2 linked regions of the Nothobranchius furzeri genome follow. The protein of the gene in region 1 purifies or fractionates together with the protein of each later gene. This does not show direct contact. Links are inferred from orthologs where the notes say so. Each region holds a gene or a part of one and is shown on either strand. Other genes may lie near its edges. The genes, in order: chek1 and hax1.

Region 1 (4,287 bases):
AGAATGAGCCATTTTAGGACTCTGTCACTTTAAGAAAACAAGCAGTTGCTGGTCACACCCACCCACCCCCCACTCAGGTTGCTATAAGCTGAGAAGCTCTGACAGCCAGAAGATGCTCGGAGTAGAGCCCTGCACCCCTGGTAGCAGCTCTTTAGCACGTGAGAGACAGTTTACTTCTACTTTCCCCATTTGTGACATCACAAACAGGGACTTTCTGAAACGGCTTGTTTTAGGCACATAAAACCTAAAAACCACACGAACAGAAAACAGATGGATGGATTTTTTTTCCATGTTTGGAGAGTTTACAGAGCCAGTCGAGACCCACATGGTAGCACAAAAGTTCGATTTTGCATAATATGTCGCCTTTAAGTTATTAATTCAAATTATGAAAGTATAGAGCATTGATCGGGATGATTAGTCTGTTACACTAAAACCCCCTGAAAGACAGCGGGTGCCTGGACCGTGTGGGATCTCACCTCCAGCTAGCATGGCCGTCAGGACGATGCCACAAGCCCAGATGTCTGCAGGCTGAGCACTATACTCTGATTGGCTGAGAAGTTCTGGAGCAACGTAGGGAAGAGTCCCACAGAGTCGGTTCAGCTGGCGCTCACGTCCTTTGAACCGAAACATGGTGGCTAGGCCAAAATCAGTCAGCTTTAAGTTGTCTAAAGGTTAGAAGATAAAAAAAAATGATGCATGGTTATGAGAAATCATTAAAAAAAAACTGTGGCACTCTATTTGCCCACCTTTGTCATCCAGCAAAATGTTTTCGGGCTTTATGTCTCTGTGGGTGATGCCAAGGCTGTGGAGGTACTCCTGAGAAGAAGCAAATAAAAGAATAAAAAAAGAGCCCGAATCAGGCAAACAACACAAACATTCACCCACCACAGCTGACATTAGCTGCTGGAAAAACCTGTGAGCATCCCTCTCTGGCATTCCCACATCAGGCTCTAAAACACCAGAAAGACAAGAACTCGAGTTAGGCAGGAACTAGTTAAGATAATAAACTGATCTGCACTTCACAGACACCAACAGTCTGCTGCAAAAATACAGTTTTATCAGAGAGCCCGCAGTGTTTTACCGATCCGGTCAAACAGCTCTCCTCCGGTGCAGTACTCCAGAAACAGATAAACAGTCGCTCCTTCTTTCCGATGCCCAAAAAACTTCACAATGTTGGGATGGTTGAGCATCTGACAAAGAACAAGGTTGTATTTTTAATCACTGATTAGGGCTGCACGATATTAGGAAAACATGCAATGTCCGATAGTGATTAATATTGCGATGATGATATTACTTGCAATAAATAATAACTTAACTCAGGAACTAAAATAATAAAAAAAAATATATATATAAATAAATTTTAAAAATGACAAAAAATTTCTTCAAAATGACAAAAGCAAAAGATGTGAAGAAAAGACAATCAGTGGAACCCGGGAAAAGCAGAATCAGCAAAAAGAGCAGAAAAAAGCTAACTTAAGGTGTTTGCTAACCATCAAAATTAAGTGCCGTCCGCCTCGGGGGCGGGCATCTAACCTATGAGAACCCATCCAATTGGCCAAATGGGTGAAAAGCTGTTTTATTTGTTAAAAAAACATCACACTTCCGTTTGATTGACAGAACGCATTATGTGTAGCAAACATTTGACCCGGACCCGAATAAGCGGAGGAAGATGAAGACGAAACATTTGAGCTGACCATTCATTGCAATATTTATCTGTTCTTTGCGATATGCATATTGCACATGCTGATATCGCGATAACGATATATTTACGATATATTGTGCGGCCCTATCACTGATTTCAAACGTTGAACCAGCACACTTTGTTTATTTCTAAAATCAGAACAGAAGTGTTTGACTTAAAAATCCTCAGAAGAAGGTAAATGTGTTTTCTGCAGCTCAGTAAGACAGGTACCTTATGGACGCAGACCTCCTTTTTCACGTTGTCTGCACACTCTTTAGACTGAGAGGTATCGACGACTTTCACTGCCACTGCCTCTTCAGTGTGTCTGTTCACCAGCAGCCTCACTCTGAAAGAGCATGGTTCAGAACAAAAAGAGAAATAAATCAGAATTTCTATAAGAAAGAAAATAGAACAGACTTTTGGAGTAAAACAAAAACTAGAAACGCACCGGAACCGGACAAATGTCAGCCTGATTAGCTAAACTGGTGATTGACCAACCCAAAACTCTACTTTTCGGATGAGTGAACGCAATAGAAATGACTGGTCCATGAACTCACCATCAGCCCTTTTCTTTAAGATCAGTAAATGCCGCAGATATCGGCCTACAAAATCACAACCGGTGCACATCTGATAAAGGTGATGTTTTTTTTTTTTCCTATTTTTACTTCACCCTGTGTCTTAATGATTTTTAGCTGTTATTTTTGGGAATTTTGTTGTATTTCCTTTTTATCTTTTATCTGTGTTCGACATGTTTATATAACGCCTGTTTAATTAACCAACATTTTTAGTGTACAGCGCCTTGTTTGGTTGTAATGCCTTGTGAATGCGCTTTATAAATAAAATTGGATTGGATGGTGTGAATTACAACGTGCATTTAACCAGAACTTAATTATTAAACAAAAGTAGCTTGAGTAAAGAAAAACGCAGCTCGACTTTAACCTGCATTAAGGTTTGGTGCAGCATTTAGCCCAGCAGCTACTGAACTATATATATGATGTTCTTACTCTCCATATGCTCCTTCTCCCAGAGTCTGAACGAGGTCCCAGTCCTGGACAAAAGGCACCGCCATGATGCTTCAGTAAACACAAAACACACAACACGTATGTAACGTGTATAAAAAAAACTCATCATTAAAGACAAACAGCGCCAAACTTTAACGTTTGCAGGATGTGAAGCAGCGCTAATGTCACGATGCCTCCATATCTGTTCAGCGATGATTCATGTGACTGTCTTACCTCCACCGCCTTTTCCCTGAGCTGCGTTTCCCACATGTGACGAGTCACAAAACACATTTATTCTAACTCCGCCATGGATGTGCATCTGTGATAAAGGGGCACAAATTTGGCGCCTTGTTGTTTTACCGGAGACATTGCGTCATTTCCTCTTTTTCTTCTACGCTTTTGCAGGAAACCTACAGCAAGCGCACACTTCCGCCCCCCTCTGGTGAAATAGTACACAGCACCCAATCATCCACCTGGTTCTCCCTGAGCTGTTCAAAGATTAATGAATGAAAGCCGCTGCTGCCTGCACACAAAGGACTGTAGGTCAAAGCATACTCAGCACAGGACATGCAGATATACATTTTACAGACCACACTTGCATTGTAGGACGTTTTTATCTGCCATGTAGAATAAAATATGCCGCTATAATACCCATTCTGTTGTGCACATTGTCCATGAATTGTCGTATGAATTTCAAAAGTGTGATATGGCGCAACTTTGCACCATTTGTTTATTTATTGTTTGTGACATCACAAACAGGGACTTTTTGAAACAGCTTGTTTTAGGAACATAATTCCTAAAACCAAACACTGACAGTAAATGGATGGAGTGTGATTTTCCAACCTTCTGTTTGAGAAACTGAACAGAAAAATTCTTTGCTAAATCCTGGAGGAATAGAGATCTAGACCGATCCTTTGTGAGTGGATAATTTTTTTGGGAAAAGGGCTCAAAAATGTGTTCAGTCCATGAAATGAAATGTGTTGTTTTTGACAGCTATTATCTAAAAATCTAAGTGTGTAAAATATGTATCAGACGGATGAGCTGTTACCAGGCGTGTCCAGTAGAGAGAGTGAGAGAAAGCATCTCAGAGTTGGAAACCTCAACATCATACATCTGTGTTAAATGTAGATCAGCCACAAGAGACACAAAGATGATATGATGCGCGGTTGAAAACATCCAAGCACCAAACTGAGACAATATCAGTAAAGGATATACTTTTTCTTTCAGTGACTAACCTCTTATTATACATATGAGATTAATCTTCCAGGTGATCAAGAAGAAAATTTACGTAATTACCTGCTTAGCTCATGTAGAATGAGAAGAAAAACAATCGAGATTCCAGTTTGGTTCTTTCTAGTGTTTCATCAATAAATAACTCAACATGTCAACAAAGCTCAAGTGTTTGAGGGTGTGTTAGTGACATTGAGAGGTGGAATGTTATGAAGTGGTTACTTTTAATAAAATTTCAACTAAATATAAAAGTATTCAATAAAAATATGGATTAGCAATGTTATTGAACCTTTAATATTTGATTGATGATGAAACTAGGTACTTTGGATATGCCAGGGAACCAAAACCTTATAATAATTTGACACAGAGGCAAAA
Region 2 (3,923 bases), on another chromosome or scaffold:
GGAAGGAATGAAGTAGTACCCAAACATGGGAGGGGGGGGTCTGGTTGTGTACTTCTCATCCTCTCGTCTCTTAAATGTCGACGGAAACGTCCGACATAAAAGACCCCTGACATATTTACTTTCAAATGTTTTTTTTTTTTTTCAACTTTTTTTGTCGTTTTAAGTTTGAAGAAACGTTTCTCTGAATTGGAAGAGTTGTGAAGTTTATTTTTTACCAGATATAGATATATTATATATAAAGACATTAAACAAAGCTCAGTGGCTCAGACTGTGAGGAGTGTGTTGGTCATGTGACTGCGTGCATGTTTGTTTCTGGGTTTTTGTTATCCAACAGTTGTACAGTTACTGTCCCCCTGAATCAGAAACAACTTTGCTTATGGCTGGTCTTATTTTGAAAGAATGATTTAAAGGGTCACAGACACAATCTGCGCCCCCCCCACCCCCCCCCCACCCCGCTTCACCTCCTTGACCCCCAACATTGTAAGGAAACCTGCAGCGTTGAACACTGATGGACAGAATTGTACTCTTTTTGTCAGTGGTTTATTATTTTCCTTTTTGTACTGTGCGTTTTAAAAGATTTAAATGGATAAAATTGTCTTGTACATATATAAAAACACAAGTACTGTAGTCCCTGTCCGTCAATGGCTTTCTTCTTTTTTTCCTTTTCAAATTCTTGCAGACTTGTTAGCTTTTTTGTTTCATTTTTTTATTTTGTAAAAATATATAAATATTAAGTAAATAAACAAAGACGTTTTCATCATTTTGGATGTTAATGTCTTTTAATAAACAATTTCTTGTGGCTTGTGGATGTAGCAGCATTTCTTCGTTTAGCACAGATTAGCTTTATTTATAAATGCTGTTGGGTGATTTTTGTGGAGTTGTGGTTTATATATTAGTTTATTTACAGGATGCCAACAGATAAACCCATATAATTTTGATGTGTTATTTTGTGTTCCCTCTTTTCAGGATAACTACGGCCGTCTAGTTGTCAGTTAACATTAGTTCAGTTGTTTTTGTTTTACTACATGTATACTACACCAAAATAAATAAAACAGAATTTTAAAGGGAACTGAAATGATTTACATTTAAACTTTTTACAATGCAATTTTTGTCAAAAAAGAGCTAGATGGACAAAAGTGGTAGAAAATATCAACGTTACCGTAATTAGTGTAATAAAGCCGTTCGATTTAGTTTATCTAAAAGATTTGTTTTCTTTCATACATTTAATTGCAATATTTTAGTCTGTACTAGAACGATTAAAAAGATTAGTTCTCGTTCATCCCAAATACAAATGGTATGAGGTGATTAGTGAGCCAACGTACTCTTTCTGGGCTTTGATTTTATGATTTACGGTAAAGCAACTTTACGGCAGTTTTGCGGCAGGTTGCGTCATTTGGAAGGATCCAGAACGCTTTGCGACTGTTGACATTACTGGCTGTTTTTCGCAGCACCTGTGAACCGTGGATGTTATGAATTAGCTTTCTGTCAGTAAATGAGTGTTTTTGATTTGTTTCGCGGGTTCTTCGGTGTTCCGGGAAGACATTATGGAGGCCGAAGGTGAGTCAAAGTTAGTAACGTAGCAAAATATATATTTCTCTGTGCTGTTAGGTAACGAAGTAGCTCCGTCGTGAGGTAAGACAGCTTTTTCCTTCCAGGAAAACCACAGGGGTCGCTCAGCTAGCATGGCCGTTAAGCTGAGCTCAAACGGACTAATACGATTGCGTCCGTCAGGATTAATTTAAGACAATTCATTTGTTTTATCAGGGACCCATTTTTTGATGCCATGACTCGTGATGACGACGAGGACGAAGAGGACGAGGATGGGGTCTGGGACGATGGGTTGAGGGGGGACCAGCAGGACCCTTTTGGCGGAGCCTGGAGGTTCGGCTTCAGCTTTGGTCCGGACGGGATGAGGTTCCAGGAGCCTCCGGTGTTCGGACACGTGCTCAGAGAAATGGAGGAGATCTTCTCCCAGCTGGGCCACTGGGAAGAGGACACGTCTGGGCATATGGGTAAGAAAGTTAGCGCGTGACCCACCCCCACTCCCATTGATAATTTTTATATTGAGTTGCACAAAAAGTACTATTTTTAATCAAGTTTTCTTTCTTTTTCTTTTATTTTTAGTTGTTCCCAGAATCCTGCCTCCATCACCACCTCAGGACAGATCACAGAGAGGTGGGGGAAGTGGGAATCCTGTGAGAGACTTTATGCTGAAATCACCTGGCAGTGACTCACAAGGGCCAACCCGAGAGGGCCCCAGTGGCAATCAGCCCTCCTATGAGCCTCCAGAATTCCCTCGCTCACCTTTCCATGGCTTTAGACCTTTCTCCAAAGTACACGAAACTGATTAATCCTCTTGTTTTTTCTGCTTGAACCTTGTTCTGATCCAATTCGCGTGTGTGTGTCTCTTAACAGTTTAATGATATTTGGAGACAGGGACTTCCGAAAACTCCAGAAGATGACATCAAAGAAGACAGAGGCGAGTTACAGTTTTAAGTTGTTACATTATTTATGGATTTAAGTTTCCTTGTTGATTTTCTTTTGAATCCCATCCAGATCTGGACTCTGCTGTGTCATCTGGTGGCCTGGATCAGATTCTGACTCCACCTGCCGGTCAGACGCCGAGCCAGCCCAGAACCCGGTCGTTCTTCCAGTCGGTCACCGTCACCAAGGTGGTGAAACCTGATGGGGTGTGTGTGCTTCGGCGGTCTTTACCTGCAACATTGAAGTGTTTTTATAGATAAATGATAAATTAAGAGTAAAATTCTCTTACAATAAATATCAAATAATGAACAAGAGTGCAAATCCACAATATTTTTAAGGTTAAAGTTGAATTAATTAAACTCACTAAATGTTTTTATTAGACCGTAGAGGAGAGGCGGACAATCCGAGACGGACACGGCCAGGAGAAGACCACAGTGACTCGCTCAGGAGGTCCTGACCCTCAGATTGGACTCGTTCCTCCAGGTCAGTTTATTTCTAGTCTGGGATTTAAATCTAAACATTGTCTCCCTGTTCCTAATCCCTGTGTTTGTGTTTGTCCCAGGTGGCCCACAGCCCTTCTCAGACTTACGGGATGACAACTCGTTATTCTCCAAGTTCTTTGGTGGATTTAAATAAAATGTTCCCCGGACTCGTTTAATGTGATGGATAAAATGCTGAAATGGAAACTTTACTAATCAGTTTGGTTGAATATTTTATTTTTGTACCGTCTCACAGAAAAGCTAATATGGATGTAGTTATGAGAGGGATCCAATAAAGATTTAATATATTTACACAGCTGCCTTGTTCTTGCAGTTCCTCTGGCACGTGGTGTGTCTTTTTTTCTTTTTTCACACTCCATCCCAAAAGCATCCACTCTGATCTGGGAGTCTGAATTCCCTGCAGGGATAAATCCATGTATTATATAAAGATCTGGAGTGAATGAAACTATTTTAATTTAGATTTAAGAACTTTTATGTCCATTTCCAGTCAGAGAAGAAGAAATCCATGTTAACACCCCCCAATCAGAGTTAATTCCACTCAGCTGATCATTTGTGGCTCAGGATGTCCCGCAGAGTAAAAGTCCTCAGCCTTGCAATAAACCGTGACGTTGCCAGAGACTCCAGGCCTGAAAGATCAAACTCTGCTCTGAGACGGATAAGCTGCGGAGCGGAACGGAGCAGGTCAGAACCCACCTGAGAGAACCCACCTGAGACCAAACGCTGCAGAGGGGAAAACCAGGATGGAGAGGCTGCTGAGGAAGTGTCGGATCAAAAACATGCTGGTCAGGGAGTGCATGGCGGAGTGTCTCGGGGTCTACGTCCTGATTGTAAGTTCTGGTTCTAACAAAGTTCACCAGGATTCATTAAAAACCGTGTGCTTTTGTTTTGGGTCAGTTAATAAAAGTTGTAGCTAACTGCAGAACTTTGGCCTGATTTTAA

Evidence for each region.
Region 2: the proteins of chek1 (region 1) and hax1 purify together in Homo sapiens (affinity purification with mass spectrometry; 3 studies listed by BioGRID and IntAct, with this or other methods). This does not show direct contact. The link is inferred for Nothobranchius furzeri from reciprocal best matches to the Homo sapiens genes CHEK1 and HAX1.

Annotation. Positions count from the first base shown.
Region 1 is NC_091750.1:44,931,711-44,935,997, forward strand, and holds the start of chek1 (serine/threonine-protein kinase Chk1), read right to left. Parts: upstream 3,071-4,287; 5' UTR 2,974-3,070; coding exon 2,917-2,973; intron 2,755-2,916; exon of another isoform or gene 2,751-2,754; coding exon of another isoform or gene 2,730-2,750; coding exon 2,686-2,729; intron 2,028-2,685; coding exon 1,913-2,027; intron 1,191-1,912; coding exon 1,082-1,190; intron 951-1,081; coding exon 886-950; intron 817-885; coding exon 747-816; intron 666-746; coding exon 477-665; intron 1-476. UniProt on the Homo sapiens protein: Serine/threonine-protein kinase which is required for checkpoint-mediated cell cycle arrest and activation of DNA repair in response to the presence of DNA damage or unreplicated DNA.
Region 2 is NC_091759.1:4,224,580-4,228,502, forward strand, and holds hax1 (HCLS1-associated protein X-1), read left to right. Parts: upstream 1-1,378; 5' UTR 1,379-1,492; coding exon 1,493-1,557; intron 1,558-1,764; coding exon 1,765-2,012; intron 2,013-2,124; coding exon 2,125-2,333; intron 2,334-2,415; coding exon 2,416-2,479; intron 2,480-2,556; coding exon 2,557-2,690; intron 2,691-2,864; coding exon 2,865-2,967; intron 2,968-3,046; coding exon 3,047-3,120; 3' UTR 3,121-3,275; downstream 3,276-3,923. Other genes in the region: aqp10b (aquaporin-10b), read left to right, coding at 3,725-3,811. UniProt on the Homo sapiens protein: Recruits the Arp2/3 complex to the cell cortex and regulates reorganization of the cortical actin cytoskeleton via its interaction with KCNC3 and the Arp2/3 complex. Slows down the rate of inactivation of KCNC3 channels. Promotes GNA13-mediated cell migration.